2 linked regions of the Elephas maximus indicus genome follow. The protein of the gene in region 1 interacts with the protein of each later gene in a pairwise test. Links are inferred from orthologs where the notes say so. Each region holds a gene or a part of one and is shown on either strand. Other genes may lie near its edges.

Region 1 (8,899 bases):
TCTCTAAGACACCCTGTGCTCTGACACAGACACTCCCTCACAAACAACCTTCACAGACACAGTCTCACAACCAACAGCTGTACTCTTGGACATAGACACAGTCCCTGGAACTCTCATGGACTGACACCCTCACAGGCAACAGCTATCAAAGACAGTAGCTACAATGTCACACCAAGACACAGTGTAACAGACAGTAGTTGTGGACACACCCTTTCAGAGACAACAGTTTTATGCTTAAACAGAGACATACCGTCGTAGACAACATTCACGGACACACAAGCTGTCTTAGACACCAACAGGCATAGACACGCCTCACGGACAACATTCACTGACTCAAGCTCTCGTGGACAACAGCAGACATAGTCACCCCTCACGGACAACGTTCACTGACACAAGCTCTCATGGACAACAGCAGACCTAGTCACCCCTCACGGACAACGTTCACTGACACAAGCTCTCATAGACAACAGCAGACATAGTCACCCCTCACGGACAACGTTCACTGACACAAGCTCTCATAGACAACAGCAGACATAGTCACCCCTCACGGACAACGTTCACTGACACAAGCTCTCATAGACAACAGCAGACATAGTCACCCCTCACGGACAACGTTCACTGACACAAGCTCTCATAGACAACAGCAGACATAGTCACCCCTCACGGACAACGTTCACTGACACAAGCTCTCATAGACAACAGCAGACATAGTCACCCCTCACGGACAACGTTCACTGACACAAGCTTTCATAGACAACAGCAGACATAGTCACCCCTCACGGACAACGTTCACTGACACAAGCTTTCATAGACAACAGCAGACATAGTCACCCCTCACGGACAACATTCACTGACACAAGCTTTCATAGACAACAGCAGACATAGTCACCCCTCACGGACAACATTCACTGACACAAGCTTTCATAGACAACAGCAGACATAGTCACCCCTCACGGACAACATTCACTGACACAAGCTCTCATAGACAACAGCAGACATAGTCACCCCTCACGGACAACGTTCACTGACACAAGCTCTCATAGACAACAGCAGACATAGTCACCCCTCACGGACAACGTTCACTGACACAAGCTTTCATAGACAACAGCAGACATAGTCACCCCTCACGGACAACGTTCACTGACACAAGCTTTCATAGACAACAGCAGACATAGTCACCCCTCACGGACAACGTTCACTGACACAAGCTTTCATAGACAACAGCAGACATAGTCACCCCTCACGGACAACGTTCACTGACACAAGCTTTCATAGACAACAGCAGACATAGTCACCCCTCACGGACAACGTTCACTGACACAAGCTTTCATAGACAACAGCAGACATAGTCACCCCTCACGGACAACGTTCACTGACACAAGCTTTCATAGACAACAGCAGACATAGTCACCCCTCACGGAGAGCATTCTCTGACGCAAGCTCCCATAGAAAACAATGGATGTAGACATCCCTCATGGACAACATTCTGTGATACAAGCTCTCACAGACAACAGCGGACATAGACACCCCTCACGGATGACGTTCACTGACACAAGCTTTCATAGACAACAGCAGACATAGTCACCCCTCACGGACGACATTCACTGACACAAGCTTTCATAGACAACAGCAGACATAGTCACCCCTCACGGACGACGTTCACTGACACAAGCTCTCATAGACAACAGCAGACATAGTCACCCCTCACGGACAACGTTCACTGACACAAGCTCTCATAGACAACAGCAGACATAGTCACCCCTCACGGACAACGTTCACTGACACAAGCTTTCATAGACAACAGCAGACATAGTCACCCCTCACGGACAACGTTCACTGACACAAGCTTTCATAGACAACAGCAGACATAGTCACCCCTCACGGACAACGTTCACTGACACAAGCTTTCATAGACAACAGCAGACATAGTCACCCCTCACGGACAACGTTCACTGACACAAGCTTTCATAGACAACAGCAGACATAGTCACCCCTCACGGAGAGCATTCTCTGACGCAAGCTCCTATAGAAAACAATGGATGTAGACATCCCTCATGGACAACATTCTGTGATACAAGCTCTCACAGACAACAGCGGACATAGACACCCCTCACGGATGACGTTCACTGACACAAGCTTTCATAGACAACAGCAGACATAGTCACCCCTCACGGACGACATTCACTGACACAAGCTTTCATAGACAACAGCAGACATAGTCACCCCTCACGGACAACATTCACTGACACAAGCTTTCATAGACAACAGCAGACATAGTCACCCCTCACGGACAACATTCACTGACACAAGCTCTCATAGACAACAGCAGACATAGTCACCCCTCACGGACAACGTTCACTGACACAAGCTCTCATAGACAACAGCAGACATAGTCACCCCTCACGGACAACGTTCACTGACACAAGCTCTCATAGACAACAGCAGACATAGTCACCCCTCACGGACAACGTTCACTGACACAAGCTTTCATAGACAACAGCAGACATAGTCACCCCTCACGGACAACGTTCACTGACACAAGCTTTCATAGACGACAGCAGACATAGTCACCCCTCACGGAGAGCATTCTCTGACGCAAGCTCCCATAGAAAACAATGGATGTAGACATCCCTCATGGACAACATTCTGTGATACAAGCTCTCACAGACAACAGCGGACATAGACACCCCTCACGGATGACGTTCACTGACACAAGCTTTCATAGACAACAGCAGACATAGTCACCCCTCACGGACAACGTTCACTGACACAAGCTTTCACAGACAACAGCAGACATAGTCACCCCTCACGGACAACGTTCACTGACACAAGCTTTCATAGACAACAGCAGACATAGTCACCCCTCACGGACAACGTTCACTGACACAAGCTTTCATAGACGACAGCAGACATAGTCACCCCTCACGGAGAGCATTCTCTGACGCAAGCTCCCATAGAAAACAATGGATGTAGACATCCCTCATGGACAACATTCTGTGATACAAGCTCTCACAGACAACAGCGGACATAGACACCCCTCACGGATGACGTTCACTGACACAAGCTTCCGTAGATAACAGTGGGCATAGGCACCCCTCATGGACAACATTCACTGACACACAAGCTCTCATAGCAACGGACACAGACAACATTCATAGGCACACAAGCTCTCAGAGACAACAACCCCTCAGAGACAACATTCACTGACACACAACCACTCTCAGACATAGATGGCCTTCAGCAACAACCTTCAGGTACACACAGCCTCATAGAGAACCACCACGCTTTGGGAGACAGATCTCATGAACAACATTCATAGACACAGTATAAACAGCCATTGTCCGACATGCATTTTTCTGTACGACCTTCAGAGAACACATATAGACACCATTCAAGAATATACACTCATAGACAACAGCTGCATCCTTACTTGCACACGGGCATAGTCTTCATCTGCTGGGGGTGTTCCCAGTCCTGGGTGTCGTGTGTCCCCTTACCATGGAGGCACCTTACTCTCCTCCTGGGACTCTTCAGTGTGGCTTGTCAGTCCAGGAAGACTGTCCGGGTGGCTGGCCACTTCACACACACACATACACACACACACCCACCCACCCACCCACCCACACCCACCCACCCACCCACACCCACCCACCCACCCACCCACCCACCCCCACACACATACACACCCCCCATACCACTGACAGGCACGGGCCCCAGGGACCCTGCCTCAGAGTAGACGCAGGCGTTGAGAGACCAGCTGTGTCTCCAAGGCACAGAGACAAGCCCCTATCTCCCGTGCCGTCTGGACCCTGGGTCCCAGTCCTTAGTCCCCGGACCTTCTGAACCCCTTGACCCCTGTGTCCCACACACTGGACTCTTGTGCCCCTAACCCATGCAACTACTAATTCCAGTGCCCTCTGACTGCCCCATCCCCTGACCCTCATACCCCTAAAACCCTGACCTTATAACCCATGACCTCTGTGCCCTCCAGTGCCTTAACTTCTGATCCTTTGGATCCTCATTCCTTTCTGTCATATCCCCCAGCCTCCAAACACCTCAAACCTGTGACCCATGACCCCCATCCCAGACCTCTGTGCTTCTTACCCCTGTGTCTTCTGATGCCCATTGCTTCTGTGCTCACCCTCCCTGCCTTCTAGTGTCTCCTTTCCCCATGTCTTTTGAACTCTGTGTCCCCTGACCACGAGCTGCAAACCTATGCTCTCTGAAAGCTATGTCCTCTCACCCAGTGGCCCTCTAACACTGTGACCCAATTCACACGTTCTCTGACTCTCTGCTTCCTGAGTACTACGTCCCTGTCCCTTGAACCCCACGCCCCTGACCCACGGCCCTGACCTGTGTCACCAGACGGTGCGGGCACCATGAACAAGTTACGCCAGAGCCTGAGGCGGAGGAAGCCAGCTTACGTGCCCGAGGCCTCACGCCCGCACCAATGGCAGGCGGATGAGGATGCGGTACGCAAGGGCACGTGCAGCTTTCCAGTCAGGGTGAGTGTGGGGCCAGGGTGGCGCTGGGGCGGAGGGGGCGGGGCTGCTGGGCACAGGGCACTGGGGCACTAGGGCAGCCTTTTGCGGGGGGGCGGCGGGGCTAGATGGTTAGTTGGAGTCCTGGTGGTACAGTGGTTAAGAGCTAGGGCTGCTAACCCAAAGGTTGACAGTTTGAATCCACCAGCCACTCCTTGGAAACCCTATGGGGCAGTTCTCCTCTTTCCTGTAGGGTCACTATGGGTCTGAATGGACTCGATGGCAACGGGTTTTGGGGCTAGATGGTTGAGAGCTTGGTTGTAACCAAAAGGTCAGCAGTTCAATCCACCAGTCACTGCTTGTAGACCCTATGGGGCAGTTCTGCCATGTCCTATAGGGTCACAAAGAGTCAGAATGGACTCAACAGCAATGGGTTTGGGTTTGGGCTAGATCACTAAGGCCCTATTCTGTGAGGCAGAGACCTTACATTCTCAAAGAACTGTGGAGCTTACCAGAATAGGCCACCACCTCACGGGCCTTTTGAAGATGGTGAAAAACAGAGAGACATTGTCTTGCACCAGGAAAATATTACCTGGGAAACAGTGAGCAGGGAGGGTGTCACCTGTTAAGCAGGAGCTCACAATTTCCAAAGAGCACAAAAATCCTGTAACATTTGCGGAATCCACTGCTGTGAAATGCTTTCTGGATTATGGCAACCATGACTCTTTATGACCTAAGCTACACTTTCGTATGGGAGACAGCAGGATTCAGGGCATGGACTGTGGAGTTCAGCCGATTTGAGTTCAAATCCCCGCTCGGCCCCTTCCAGGTTGTGTGGCGACAGACGATGGTCATAGCCCCTCTGCCTTATCCTTTCCCCCAGAAATAGACCTGAGTGTGAAGGGTTCATTTGGGAGGTGCAGGAAACGCTGGTGGGAGTAAGGAAGGTAGGTAATCCAATAAAGTGTGTTATTAAACTGCAGTTGCGGACAGCTGAAGCTTAATCCCTCTGAGGAACTCTGGGAAACAGAGAGCCTGTGTACATCAGTCCATCAGTCATTTCGAAGATATACCTGTTGTAAGGGTGGACAAGCAGTCTTATGCAGCCTGGGAGCAGGCCACAGGCGCAGAGATACTGGTACTCAAGGACAACAGTGAAGTGTTAAGGCTTAGGAATATGGGGGAAAAACCCAAAAACGAAACAAAACCCATTGCCGTTGAGTGGATTCTGACTCATAGCAACCCTATAGGGCAGAGTAGAATTGCCCCATAGGGTTTCCAAGGAACGGCTGATGGATTCAAACTGCTGACCTTTTGGTTAGCAGCTGAGCGCTTAATCACTGCGCCACCAGGGCAGGGCATGGCTACACATTGTGCTTCAGTTTTCTCATCTGTGTAAACCATAAAAAAACCAAACTCTTTGTTGTTGAGTTGATTCCGACTCATGACGACCCTATAGGACAGAGTAGAACTACCCCATAGGGCTTCCAAGGCTACAGTCTTTACGGAAGCAGGTGCCACATCTTTCTCCTGTGGAGCAACTGGTAGGTTTGAACCGCTGACCTTCCAGTTAGCAGCCAAGTGCTTAGCCACTGCGCCACCAGGGCTCCTCACATCTGTATAACTGGGATAAAAAGGGGGTACGCTCCTTGTAGAGATGAGGTCCAGAGTAAACAAGTTAACATGTACAATGTGTTTGGAACGTTGCCTGGTGCATCGCAAGTGCTCAATGAACACAGGAATTATTGAAAACTGCTTTTTTCTGGTCCTGCTGTCCTCTTCTTCAGTACCTGGGCCACGTGGAGGTGGAGGAGTCCCGGGGGATGCACGTGTGTGAAGATGCTGTGAAGAAGCTGAAGGCGGTAAGTGACGGCCTGGAGCCAGGGAGGGGCAAGCTCAGGCCAGCCAAGGCAGCCCTGACCAGGCCTCTTTGTCCCCCACCACCCCAGATGGGCCGGAAATCCGTGAAGTCTGTCCTGTGGGTGTCAGCCGATGGGCTCCGAGTGGTGGATGACAAGACCAAGGTAGGGGGCCTGTGGGAGTGGGTACTAGTCAGCCTCTCTCCTCCTCTCCCTGCTGGAATCAGGGCTGAGGGTACCTTCCCACCCACGTCTGGGACGTCCCTCCCGCAAGGTCCCTGACCCACCTTCCTGGCCCACCTGACAGCCATAATTCAGAGATGATTCCTGTGGTTATTTGTGAGCTGGTATAGACAGTAGGGGGACTGTTGGAGCTCAGTTCATCTGCTTACTAGCTGGGTGACCCTGGCTACGAAATTTCTTGCCTCTGTGCCTCACACGCCTCACTTATAAAATCAGAATGAAAACAGACCCTACCATTAAGTGAGAAAATATATGTAATGTGCTGAAATCCGTGCGCGATGCATCGTGAGCACTCAGCTCTATAAGTGTCAGTCTGCCCAGCCAGACCTGGAGCACCGTGGGGCCAGCATCTGGGTGTCTGTTTGCTCACCATTGAATCCTCTGCCTGGGGCCCAGATACTGCCAGAGGGGGCACCCAGATGTGATGGGAATTGGGTTGATGAACAGATCACCATATTTGCATAGGAAGTTCCTTCTGCCAGAAATACTGTTCCCTGCCTTTCTGCTTAGTTAATTCCTCCACCAGGAAGCTCTGCCTCCGTAGCTGTCCTGACTCCCACAGCCCCACACCCCGCCCAATGCCAGCCCTAACCACTGTGCCCCGCCTCCGACCATCATAGACCCGACCCCTCTGCCTGTGCCCCCCATCCCGGCACAACCCCTCCACCTGTGCCCCAAGCCCTCTGCTCGTGACCCCCCATCCTGGCCTGACCCCTCCACCTGTGTCCCAACCGCTTTGCCCGTGCACCCCCATCCAGGCCCAACCCCTCTGCCTGTGCCTTCCCCAGCCGGGCTGTACCCCTCTGCCTGTGCCTGCCCCTTCCTTACCCTCTGCCTGTGCCTCCCTTGTCCCAGCCCCCACCTCCACTCCTGGCTTGACCTCTCTGTCCATTCCCCCCATCCTCCTGTGCCTCCCTATCCTGGCTGTCCACCTCCCCCGTGGCTCCCCCATCCCACCCCAATTGTAGCCTCAGCGACTCTGGGCTGTCCCTATGTGGATCTGATCCCCTTACTGTCTCAGTGAGTGCTGGGTCCCCACCCTGTTCAGGATTGGCCATCGAGCAGACACTGAGGAAATGTTAAATGAGTGCATGTTAGACACTTCATTTCCTTCTCCCGCCCTCCCTGGTTCTTTCGCAGGACCTGCTGGTAGACCAGACCATCGAAAAGGTCTCCTTTTGTGCTCCTGACCGCAACCTGGACAAAGCTTTCTCCTATATCTGCCGTGATGGGACCACCCGACGCTGGATCTGCCACTGTTTCCTGGCGCTCAAGGACTCCGTGAGTACCACCAGAGCCAGCCACTCGTCTCTCCCAGCCCCTGGCATCCCACCCCCCGTGCCCCACCGGCTGGCTGCGTGAACTCGGTCAAGTCCCTTACCCCTCTGTGCGTGGTTTCCTCATCTGGAGAACGGGATGTTATCACAGTTCCTAATCCTTGTCCTGGGAGTCCCTAGGTAGTGCAAATTAGTGATGCACTCCGTTGCTCACTGAAAGGTTAGAGGTTTGAGTCCACCCAGAGACACCTTGGAAGAAAGGCCTGGTCATCTACTTCTGAAAAATCAGCCACTGAAAACTCTGATGGCGCACAGTTTTACTCTGACACACATGGAGTGGCCATGAGTCAGACTCACCTTGATGGCATCTGGTAACTGGTGATCATTGTTCCTAACCTAGGAGATTATTGTGAGTCTAGAGTAGGTGTCATGGTTAAGATTGTGTGTCAACTTGGCTGGGCCATGATTATCAGTGTTTTGGCAGTCGTTGTGATCACTGCCATTTTGAGATTTGATATGTGGTCGCCCTCATGATAGGATCTGCGGTGAGTAGCCAGTTAGTTGAAAGGGAGTTTCCTTGGGTGTGTGGCCTGCATCCAATATAAGTGGACGTTCTGGCAGGGCTTGGGGGCTTTTGCACATTCTAGATCCTGCAGCTGGCTCCTGTTCATCTGACCTGCAGTTCTTGGGCTTGAGCTAGCAGCTTACCTGTGGCCTTGCCTGCCGATCTGGGGATTTGTCAGTCTTCACAGACCGTGAACAACAGCCCTGGTCTCTGATGTGCTGATCTGGGGTTTGCCAGCTCCTGTGGCCTCTATCCTGATCCACAGACTTGGGACGTTCCAGCCTCTACAACCACATGAGCCATTTCCTTAACGTAAATTTTTCTCTATATACGTATTAATATGTTTTACTGGTTTTACTTCTCTAGAGAAGCCAGCCTAAGACAGTAGATTAATACAAAGCGTTTCAAACAATGCATGGCACAGAAGGAGCCGTCATGAAAATGTAGTCATCATCATCATCATTCTCAGTAGTT
Region 2 (9,721 bases), on another chromosome or scaffold:
GAGGCCCCCTCACCTTCCCACCCTGTCCTATCTCCCCAAGCCCACTCCATCCCCAGGAGCTGCACCAACTCCTCCCTTTGGAGACACAGCCCCAGCCAGCACTCGGCCTGCCACACTGTCCTCACCAGGCAAAGGTGCAAGAAAGCCCCTGGGCCTCTCAGCTCACGTGGAAAATGGCCCTCAACTTCACTGTGCCCTTCAGGGCATCACCCTCTCCCAGCTTGGTCCCAGGGTCCCCGTGGTGGCCCCACTCACGTGTTTCTCTAACACCTCCACAGCAACCACAAGCACCCTCCTGCCCTCAGTTCGAACGTTTTCTCACTCTGGATTCACAGAACCCAGAGGCTCACTGAGAGACACACACAGGAGAGCAGATTAGACAAGACAGTAGAGACGTCACATACGTAGGTGTCTGTTTAATGGTGCAGTGCAGGGTGTCTCCAGGCCTGGCAGCCACCCCCCAACGTGGCAGGCCCAGGGTCAGCAAGGACAACAGAGCAGCTCCACGCCATGTGGGGCACAGGTGTCAGAAGCTGGTCCCTTTGGGAACATGGCATCTCCCCATGCAACTTGGATGTGGTGCCATCTCTCAAGGCTACCAGGACCCCGCCCACACTGCTCAAACACTGGAAAGGTCTCTGAACGCAGTCTGGTGGGGGTGGGAGGCACAGATGCTGCTGGACCAGCTTATGTAGGTCCTGCACCCCTCCAGGCCCCCTGTTCTGGCCCTCGTGCATGAGCTCCACAGCAGCATGGGAAAGCCCAGGAGACAGGAGAGCTGGCAGGGCACCTCAGTCAGTGCCTGTCTGCGCCTGCACCTGTGCCCCATCCAGGATCTTCTGGGCAATGGAGGCAAGTGCAGGGAAGGCAGCACTCTTGGGGAACTCCTGGATGAAGTCCCGGCCCTCTTCCAGGCTCCTCACAAGCTGGGGGTCCAGAGGCACGGAGCCTGTGAAGATGAGGAGACGGGGGAAGGGAGGGCAGGGCCTGGGGAGGCTCGGGTCACCGCCATGCACCCCCACCCTGGAAGCCAGCGCCTCCTTGAGAGAGCAGATGCCCCAGGCTGGCACTCTGCGGGGGCTCACTTCCACCCGGATGCTGTACCTCCCATGGGCTAGCTCAGTACTGCCCAGCGCGTGGACACCTGCCTCAGTGTTCATCCAAAGGGCAGCCCTGAGGTTTAGCCTGGGCAGGGAGTGCCTGTCCTGCCCCCTGCATCTTGGGGTCCCAGCAGGCATGCTCCCACAGTTGACAGGGACCCCACTACCCCCCACCTGGCACTCACCTAGAAAGGGAACCCCAGCGTGCCTGGCCAGCTCCTCCCCGCCTCCCACGGAGAAGAGATTAGTACACTCCTGGACAGAGGGATGGGGCCATGAGTGCAGGCCCCTTGTGCCCCTGTACCCTGCCCACCCGACGGCCGGGCGCCTCACCGCGCAGTGCGGGCAGACGAAACCGCTCATGTTTTCCACAATGCCGATCACTGGCAGCCCTGTCTTCCTGCAGAAGGTCAGCTCCCGCCGCACATCCCCCACAGACACCGCCTGGGGGCCAAGACAGCGTCTGGGGCTCTACATGCAGCTCTGCTGGAGAGAGGGAGGCCACCGCCCCCACCTGCCAGGAGGGGCTGCATGTTTGGAGCTTGGTGCTCACTCACCTGGGGTGTGGTAACCAGAACTGCGCCCAAGGGCTGGTACGGACGCAGGGCCTCCACAGCCGAGATGTGCTCATCAGAGGTACCTGGGGGCGTGTCCACCACCAGGAAGTCCAACTCCCCCCACACCACGTCCGACACAAACTGCCTTATCAGTGCTGCAGAGACCACCCAGAACCCCGGGGGCTCATGAGGCGTTTGTCCAGAGAAGCCCCAGCCTCTTGCAGCCTCCAGTGCAGACAGCGCTATCAACAGGGCCTGGACCCCAAAAGCAAGGCCACTGCCAGGAGGAGAAGCACATGCAGAGGTCCCCAGCACACTGTCCCTCTCCCCGCCCCACCCAGGAGCGGTTGGCTGATGTCTGCTCTAGACACAGGATGGCCCCAAGTGTCCCGGCCCAGGGAGCTGGCCCTGCAGGGAGTGCCATGGCTGACTGGCCCTAGGCTGGCTTTTGATACCGGCAGGCGGTCCAGGCTTCCAACTACATCGCTGACCTGATGGCGGGGGGAGGCGGGGGTTGTTGCTGCCGTCTGATGGGCCAGAGGCACCCGAGCCCCCAATGAGTGCCCCAACACTGCAGATTGGTGGCTCAAGAATGATGGCCTCAACCACACAGGCCCCAGCACCATGCGCCCGCCTCATCCCACGATTCACAGAAGCCTACCCGGCACAGCCGGGATGTTGCCAACTCCCCATGACAGCTGGCATGGGACTGCTGAGGACTTGGGCCCCATTACCATTTTTCTTGGGGCCCCTCCACACCACGGCCTCATCGGGTGTCTCCAGCAGGAAGCCCACGGACATGAGAGCAATGCTCTGTTCCTGGTCCACAAACACTGGCACCCAGCCGTTGTCACACTGGTGCACAGCGCAGCCCTGCGCCTGCAGCATGCGTGGCACGCTGGGCCCACACAGATCCACATCTAGGATGCCCACCTGCAGGCGGTGTAGCCAGTGAGGACCACGCTCAGGAGGACAGGGGTGGCAGGCGCAGGGGGGATGAGTGGCCTGGAGGCACAGTGCTCACCTTCTTGCCCGCGTGGCGCAGGGCCAGGGCCAGCTCAGTGGAGATGGTGCTCTTCCCTACACCACCCTTTCCCGAGAGCACAAGGATGATGTGCCGGACGCCGGCCAGGTTCCCAGGCTCTTGTCAGAACAAGAGACATAAAGGTCAGGAGGTCCCAATATGCCAGCCACTCCTCACCATTCCCCCTACGGGCTCACTGTGTACTCCCACCTCTGGGCTCTGGGGTCACGGCCCCCACACCCGACACTGAGCAAATGAGGCTGGCAGGAGGCTCCACAGCCCATCCGCTGCTCCCGTGAACGCCATAGCACCCACTCCTGCCTGAAGCCTGGCTGCCGAAGACCAGGAAGCCTCTTTAGAGAGCGTCTATGTGTGCAGGTGTGCGCATGTGTGTATGTACTGCAGAAGTGGTGTGCACTCACGCTTGGAGACAAGACAAGCCTGAGATGCCAGCTCCCTCTAATTCCAACGGAGAAACACTTGGAGACCAACAAAGCTGCCGTCTTCGTGGCCTCAAGGTGCACCTATGCCTGGAGGCTGCTGTGCCTCCTCTCAGTGACCAGGCCCAAGACATGACTGAATCTGGGCCTGAGGTTGCCCCTCTCCACCTCCTAGGACCCAGGTTAGTGCAGAAGAGGCCCTGAGGCAGACACTGGGGCTCCAATTGCGGGGGCGGGGGGGGAGGGTGAGTGCCAGCACCTGAGACCCAGGTCACCAGACGGCCCTTGCTATGCAAGCATCAGCACTGCCTGACTGGCTGAGTCCACACTCTTGTTGCCCCTGTGCCCCACCCCGAAGGCACCCACCCACTAATGTCTTTGGCCGCATTCCACACAGGCCCCCCCCCCAAAACTCTCCTTTGGGTCTTTGACCACCTGCCCTGCTCCTTTTCCTTCCACTGAGCAAGAAACTTCACCAAATGAATCAGGGATGGTCACAAACACCGTCTGCCTGGCCTCCATATTCCAATCAGGTGCCCTCCACCCTGCCCAGGCCTCTGCTCAGCTGCTCTCCTGGGTGCCCGCCTTTCCCGGAAGGTGGTTGTGGGTAGAATCCCATCCCTCCTCCCACCCCTCCAATATCTCCCCGAGGTACTCGCAGGGCCTGACCTGGCCCTCCTGGCGGGACCTTAACACAAACTTTGTGAACTATAGGCCATGATCTCGTCTTAGGCGACATCACACCCAAGCTGCCCAGCAAACACTAATGCTTAAGGTAACACCAACAGGCACGTGGGAGGATACTGTGCAAGGCTGCAGGTTCACCTTCGTTGCTGGGGGAGGGGGTTCTGCTGGAAACGCTCGAAAGTGAGAGAGCCAGGTGTAACCTAGTTGAACCGTGACTGAGACAGGCAAGAGATCGGACTGGCTACAATTAAATAACTTCTAATTCAGTGTTTTTGGAATCTAAACCTAAGTGCAGACCACCATATAACTTTTACTGCTGGCACTCGAAGACACTTGTGACTAACAAACTAGGTGCTTAGACAAGATAAGGGGCCATATTTCCTATCCCTACATGCTTGACTGATAACCTTCCTGAGTTGTTTTTCAAGTCTCGCATACTCACCCGCCACCGCCTCCATCCGCCACCTCCTGCGTCTCTGGGTTTCCGCCCGCGGACCGCCCGCCTCCCAGCAGGAGTGAAGAGCCCTCGGGCCAGTGGGCAGCGCGAGCCCGCCCCCCGGCGCCTCTTCATAGGCCTAGTCCTGCTGCCCTCAGCTAATCAGACCGCCCGAGCTGTGCGCGCGAGTTCCGGCGCCGGATGACGTGGAGGAGATGGGTCCACTTCCCTGTCAACGCCCCAAGTTGGGACCGCCTCCCTCCCGCAATCCGCGCCCAATGGGTGCGGGGGCCTTCTCTCCGACGGATTCAGGCGTGGCCAATGGAGACTTCGGTTCGGGACTAACGGGCCCTGCAGCCTATCGGCAGGAGCCGTGCCCCGCGAGTCCCGACCCCCGGTCCAAGCCTGAGCTGGAGCCCGCCTCCCGCGGGCCGGCCAATGCGGCGCGGGGCGGGGATTGTTGACGTCTCGCTCGGAGCGGAAAGTAGGTCACCGCGGGCAGGGAGCGCGGCGACGGCGGAGGCAGAGCAGCGCCAGGTGAGCGCGGCGGCGCGGCCGGGCCTGCCCTGGCGTCGCGGGCTCGGGAGGGCGCGCCCAACCTTTGTTCCTCCGGCTACCCGGGCACGGCGCCTGCTCCCAGCCCGCCCTGCGCTTTGTCCGCGGCCACCAGGCGGGCCGCGCTCCCTCTTAGACCCTCGTCCATCTCCGGGGCCCCGGAAGGACGGCTGCGTCGGGCGCTCTGCGCACTGCCTCGGGTTAGGGGGCCCTCCCCCCCGATTTGGGGGGTAACTTCCGGAAACGGCACCCCGAAACTGAAATCAGTACGAGCTCGCGAGAATCGGGATATGGCGACCGTCCGGTTACGTGAAGATTGGGGAGCGTGTTGTCGGGACTTCGCTGTGGGTGACAAGCTCGTTGGGTCATTCATTCAGTCTGGGTCACGTGGCGCCCACTGTGTGGTACCAGTGTAGCGAATAGCGATTAAGCCGTTTGGGGCCGATTGTAACTGCTCCAACCATAGTTGGAGACTGGAGGCTCTGGTGCAGGCCAGATGTTTATGGAGAACAGCAGGACTCCCATCACCAGGAACCAGTGGCTCAGGCTAGGGAGGGCCTTCCCCCCCGCCTCCCCCCCCCCCACCCAGCTCATTCATTCAGCGGACAAGGCACCTTTTGGGTGTCTGGCAGGGGCCTTGTAGGCTTTCCCGCCCGAGGGAGAGGCAGGTATACACCATCACGGAAGGCCACATATTGCTTTAGGTTGGGTGGAATTGATAACGGAAGGTAGTGTTACCACAATTTCCCTAGTTAGCCGCATGCTGCAAACAGCCAATTCTTGAGACCGGGTGAGGTGGGTAGCAAGAAGTTTATTAGATATACCGGTATTTACCGATATATGGAGGCAGAGGGGAATGATCTCCTAAAGCTAGCTGTCTGTCTCTCAGAACTACAGGTCAGCTAGGGTTTTCAAGGGAAAAGGGGCTATAAGTTTTAGGAACTCGTGGAATGTGCATTCTCTTTCTGTTTGGTTTCAAACATGTTGATCTCTTCCTGCTATTATCCCATCAGCTTCATCTTGTTGACAGGCTTATTAGATCCATATCACTTGTTTTCCAAGGTCCTAGGGGAAACACTGGTTAACCTTTTGGAGGAGCTAACAGGAAAATCCTACCTGGAAACAGAGACAGCCTGGGAAGGGAAAGAAGAAGGGGAAAAATGGCACAGGTACTGTTCAGGATATGGCTGAGCAGCCTGTTTCAGTAGGACCGTGGTAATCAGAGCAGCAGTGAGAGAAGAGTAGGAGAAAGCTGGTCACTGAACCAAGGCCAGTATGGCTTGGGGAAGCTGAGAACTCTGGAGGCTCTGTAGAATTCTGCATTTTATCTTAAGAATAATGGGAAGGCCTGAAGGCATGGTAAGATTCAGATTAATTTTTCAAGAGCAAGTCTGGCTGTGTGTTAAGGATCTGGGAGGAGGGTGAGGCAGACAGATGTGTGGTCCAGGGGAGGTCCTGGGTTGGGATGGAGGTGAAGAACATGGACGAGTTGAGGTAGTCAGGGCTTGGAGATACTGAGTTGATGCGGGCCATGAGGGGATGGAGGAGGTGTCAGGGATGTCTGGCATGAGGAACTACGTGCTTGGAGATTTCATTTGCCAAACTGGACACTGGAGGAGGAGGAGTCAGCCAAGGCTGGAAATGCCTGAAGTGCAAGTGGGTGAGACGTGGGGTAGGTGAGGATGAGCTCAGAGGGAGATGGGCTGAGATGTGCCGTGGAGAGTCATGGACTTGTGGAAGGTTTTGCACACCATCTGCCTGGTTTTCATTGAGGTACTCAGATACTGGAGTGAGGTGTGGGCTTGTGTGGAGAGTTCTGGAGCTCTGACCATGGGATCCGTGTGGCCCGGGAACACCTCCACCTTTGGGTGGGTCTGTGGGCACAGCCCGCAGGGGCAGCTGGGAGCCTGCACAGGGGTGAAGGACAGAGTACAGAGGGCTGTTGGGAGACAGTCCAGCATCCTGAGTCTTCCTTCCTTTCTCGGGGTCTGTGTTTTCTTCCAGGTCCTCTCCGCCATGGCCAGGCGGCCCCGGAGCAGCCGGGCATGGCATTTTGTCCTGAGTGCAGCCCGCCGAGATGCCGATGCCCGGGTTGTGGCTCTGGCAGGCACTGCTAACTGGGGCTATGACTCTGATGGGCAGGTAGGTCCCCGTGAGGAGGGGGTGCTGCTGGACTGAGGTGTGGAGAAGCAGGCATGACCTAGACAGGGATGAAAGAGGATGGATGCCCAGGTCCCACTGTCCCTGGGCATGCTCTGCCTGACAAGGCTCTTCAACCCAGTGAAGGCCCCTGAGGCTGGGCCCCAGCACAGGTGCCAGGTTCTCCTTAATAACACTCTTCTGTCTTGCAAAGACCACACTGGGGCGAGGCTGCACACTGGGGATTGTGGCCAACAAAAATGTTTCAATTTCATGCATCCAACTCATTTCCAGAAGAGAGCCATTGTTAACTTGGCGAATGTCTTTCTAGATGTTTCCTTGGCCTGTCCAGACACACAGTGTTCTGTACGTGTGCATGAAAAAGAGCTTTGGTTCTTGATGATCAGAATTTCTTACCATGTGAGCCTCTCCGTGGGAACAAGGAGGCAGTCCAGAGAACATCTGTCTCCCAGTTCAGGTTTTCTGGCCCCAGCAGGGGCAGCATGGAGAGGCAGAGCATGTGGGTGAAGGTTTGGTGAGGCCAGGAGAAGAATAGGTTCCATCTCTCAGAGTAGGAGCCAGCTTGAATCACCCCAGCTGTCTTCTGCAGGGCTGCCCGAGGTGACTTTGGCCTCTGCTCAGCACAGGTGCCCCGGGCTGGGAGGGGCGGGTGCCTCTCCTCCAGATCAGTGGCCCCTTGTCCCCCCAGAGAGTGGCTGGTGAGCCTTGGGAGCTGTCCAGGGGAAGGCCTGGCCTGCACTCCTGCCCTGCCCCCACACTGACCATGTGGTCTGGAGCACAGACTCACTGCTGTGGGATGCAGAATGTGACCACTGATGGTACAGATGTGACACATACATGCTTTTTGTCCCCTGTCACCTAATGGGTCTTGCATGCCTGTGAGTGTGTCTGGGGTGAATAGCACACATACCCTTCCTTAGTTCATAGGAGGCAGAGGCCTCAGCCTAGGGTGGAGGGTCCCATTCCCTGCAATGGGATGCAGTCCCTTAGGCCTGCGTGGCCTGCTGTGGCGACCATTCTGCAGATGGGACCATGTCCCATTCTTAAGTCGGCTCTCAAAACAGACCTGCCAGCCCGACCATTGTGGCTCCGTGTCTTCTCTTCCTGGGCCCATCCTCTCCTCTCCCCAGCTCCTGCAGTCTTCTTTATGATTGTCTGTCTGTCCATCCGTGATGGGTTTGAGACACAGCAGATGCCCGTTTTGCTGTTTATTTGCTCAGTTGGTTTAGCTGCTGTGTGGCCATGGTGCTGGGCCCTGGAGTGTGACGGGAAAGAGACAGAAGGGCTGGGCTTCCCTTGTCAGGGGACAGGTGACAGATGAGTTTCAGGGATAAGAAGAAGAAAGCCGGGGAATGGTGGTCTGAGGAGGAGCATCGGAAGACCCAGGTGGGGGACCCTGAGGTCACGTGCTGCACATGGGAGGAGTGAAGGTGGAGTTCAGAAGGCAGATCTGGGCTGGGAGCTCTTGAAGGATTCGATGGGGCACGGGTACTCTAGGGCGTGGTGGAACGGCATGATGGGGGCGGTGGGACATGGCGGAGTGTCACGGTAGCGTGTTTTAAAAGCTTGTTTGGGTCTAGGTGCAGAGTGTGGAGTGGTGGTGGGGCGGGGGGAGAAGCAAAGCCCAGTGGCGGCCAGTGAGCCGCAGAGCTTCAGGCAGGGGCTCTCTCCACCTGCTCAGGTGTGGAGACTGGAGGCACTGCATAGCTTCAGAGCAGGATGACTCAGCTCAGAGACCCCTAAGCAGGCTGGCTGGCCCCCAGGAGGGGTTGTGGGTGACTCGGCTATTGGGTGTGACAAGCTTTGCACAAGGACCCGAGTGTCTGGCTGGGTCCTGTAGGGGCAGCTCAGCTGACTAGTACTTTTCTATACCCAGAAGCTGGAAGCTGCAGCAGGGGCCTCGTCAAGGGGGCTGTGCAGCAGGGTGGGTGTGGAGGGGCTGGCACAGGGCTGCAGGCCAGAGGTGGGAACAGCCTGCCTTCTTTCCCAGCACAGCGACTCAGACTCCGACCCTGAGTTCTTGTCCCTGCCGCCATCCATCCCCAGCGCTGTGCCGGTCACCGGGGAGTCCTTCTGTGACTGCGACAGCCAGAGTGAGGCCTCCTTCTGCGGCGGCCGGCACAGCACCCACAGCGGCAAAGACTGCCGCTGTGGGGAGGAGGACGAGCGTGAGTGCGTGGGGAGGACTTGGGGGAGGACCTGCAGGGAGGATGAGTGTTTGGGAAGGTTGGGGGAGGGGGGACATACAAGGAGGAGGATAAGCGTGAGCACTGGGGGAGGTTGAGGGGAGGGTGGGGGAGAGGGGCTCCCTGCCCACCTCAGCTGGCCCTTCGCCCCTGCAGACTTTGACTGGGTCTGGGATGACCTGAACAAGTCCTCAGCCACCCTCCTGAGCTGCGATAATCGCAAAGTCAGCTTCCATGTGGAATACAGCTGTGGCACAGCAGCCATCCGGGGCACCAAGGAGCTGGGTGAGGGCCAGCATTTCTGGGAGATCAAGATGACCTCGCCTGTCTATGGTACTGACATGGTGAGTGCTGACTGCCAGAGACACGCGGGGATTGGCCCCAGGTGAGGCGTGCGGGATCAGCCCCAGCCCCATGTGCCCCTCTCCTGGCCTTGTTCCTAGATGGTAGGCATTGGGACGTCAGATGTGGACCTGGACAAGTACCACCACACCTTCTGCAGCCTGCTGGGCAGGGATGAGGACAGCTGGGGCCTCTCGTACACGGGTGCGTGTGGGGGTGGGGGGGCAGTGGGGC

The links.
Region 2: the proteins of NUMBL (region 1) and SPSB3 interact in binary tests that used the Homo sapiens proteins (3 or more experiments, as listed by UniProt). The two-hybrid records come from large-scale screens. The link is inferred for Elephas maximus indicus from reciprocal best matches to the Homo sapiens genes NUMBL and SPSB3.

Annotation. Positions count from the first base shown.
Region 1 is NC_064829.1:110,968,597-110,977,495, forward strand, and holds the start of NUMBL (numb-like protein), read left to right. Parts: upstream 1-5,199; coding exon 5,200-5,310; intron 5,311-6,268; coding exon 6,269-6,343; intron 6,344-6,430; coding exon 6,431-6,505; intron 6,506-7,723; coding exon 7,724-7,864; intron 7,865-8,899. Other genes in the region: COQ8B (atypical kinase COQ8B, mitochondrial), read left to right, coding at 4,366-4,383. UniProt on the Homo sapiens protein: Plays a role in the process of neurogenesis. Required throughout embryonic neurogenesis to maintain neural progenitor cells, also called radial glial cells (RGCs), by allowing their daughter cells to choose progenitor over neuronal cell fate.
Region 2 is NC_064830.1:58,863,667-58,873,387, reverse strand, and holds the start of SPSB3 (SPRY domain-containing SOCS box protein 3), read left to right. Parts: upstream 1-5,159; 5' UTR 5,160-5,959; coding exon of another isoform or gene 5,960-5,968; 5' UTR 5,969-6,524; coding exon 6,525-6,941; intron 6,942-8,949; coding exon 8,950-9,127; intron 9,128-9,301; coding exon 9,302-9,489; intron 9,490-9,588; coding exon 9,589-9,691; intron 9,692-9,721. Other genes in the region: cytosolic Fe-S cluster assembly factor NUBP2, read right to left, coding at 792-949, 1,286-1,355, 1,434-1,544, 1,658-1,812, 2,392-2,590, 2,682-2,800, 4,251-4,266.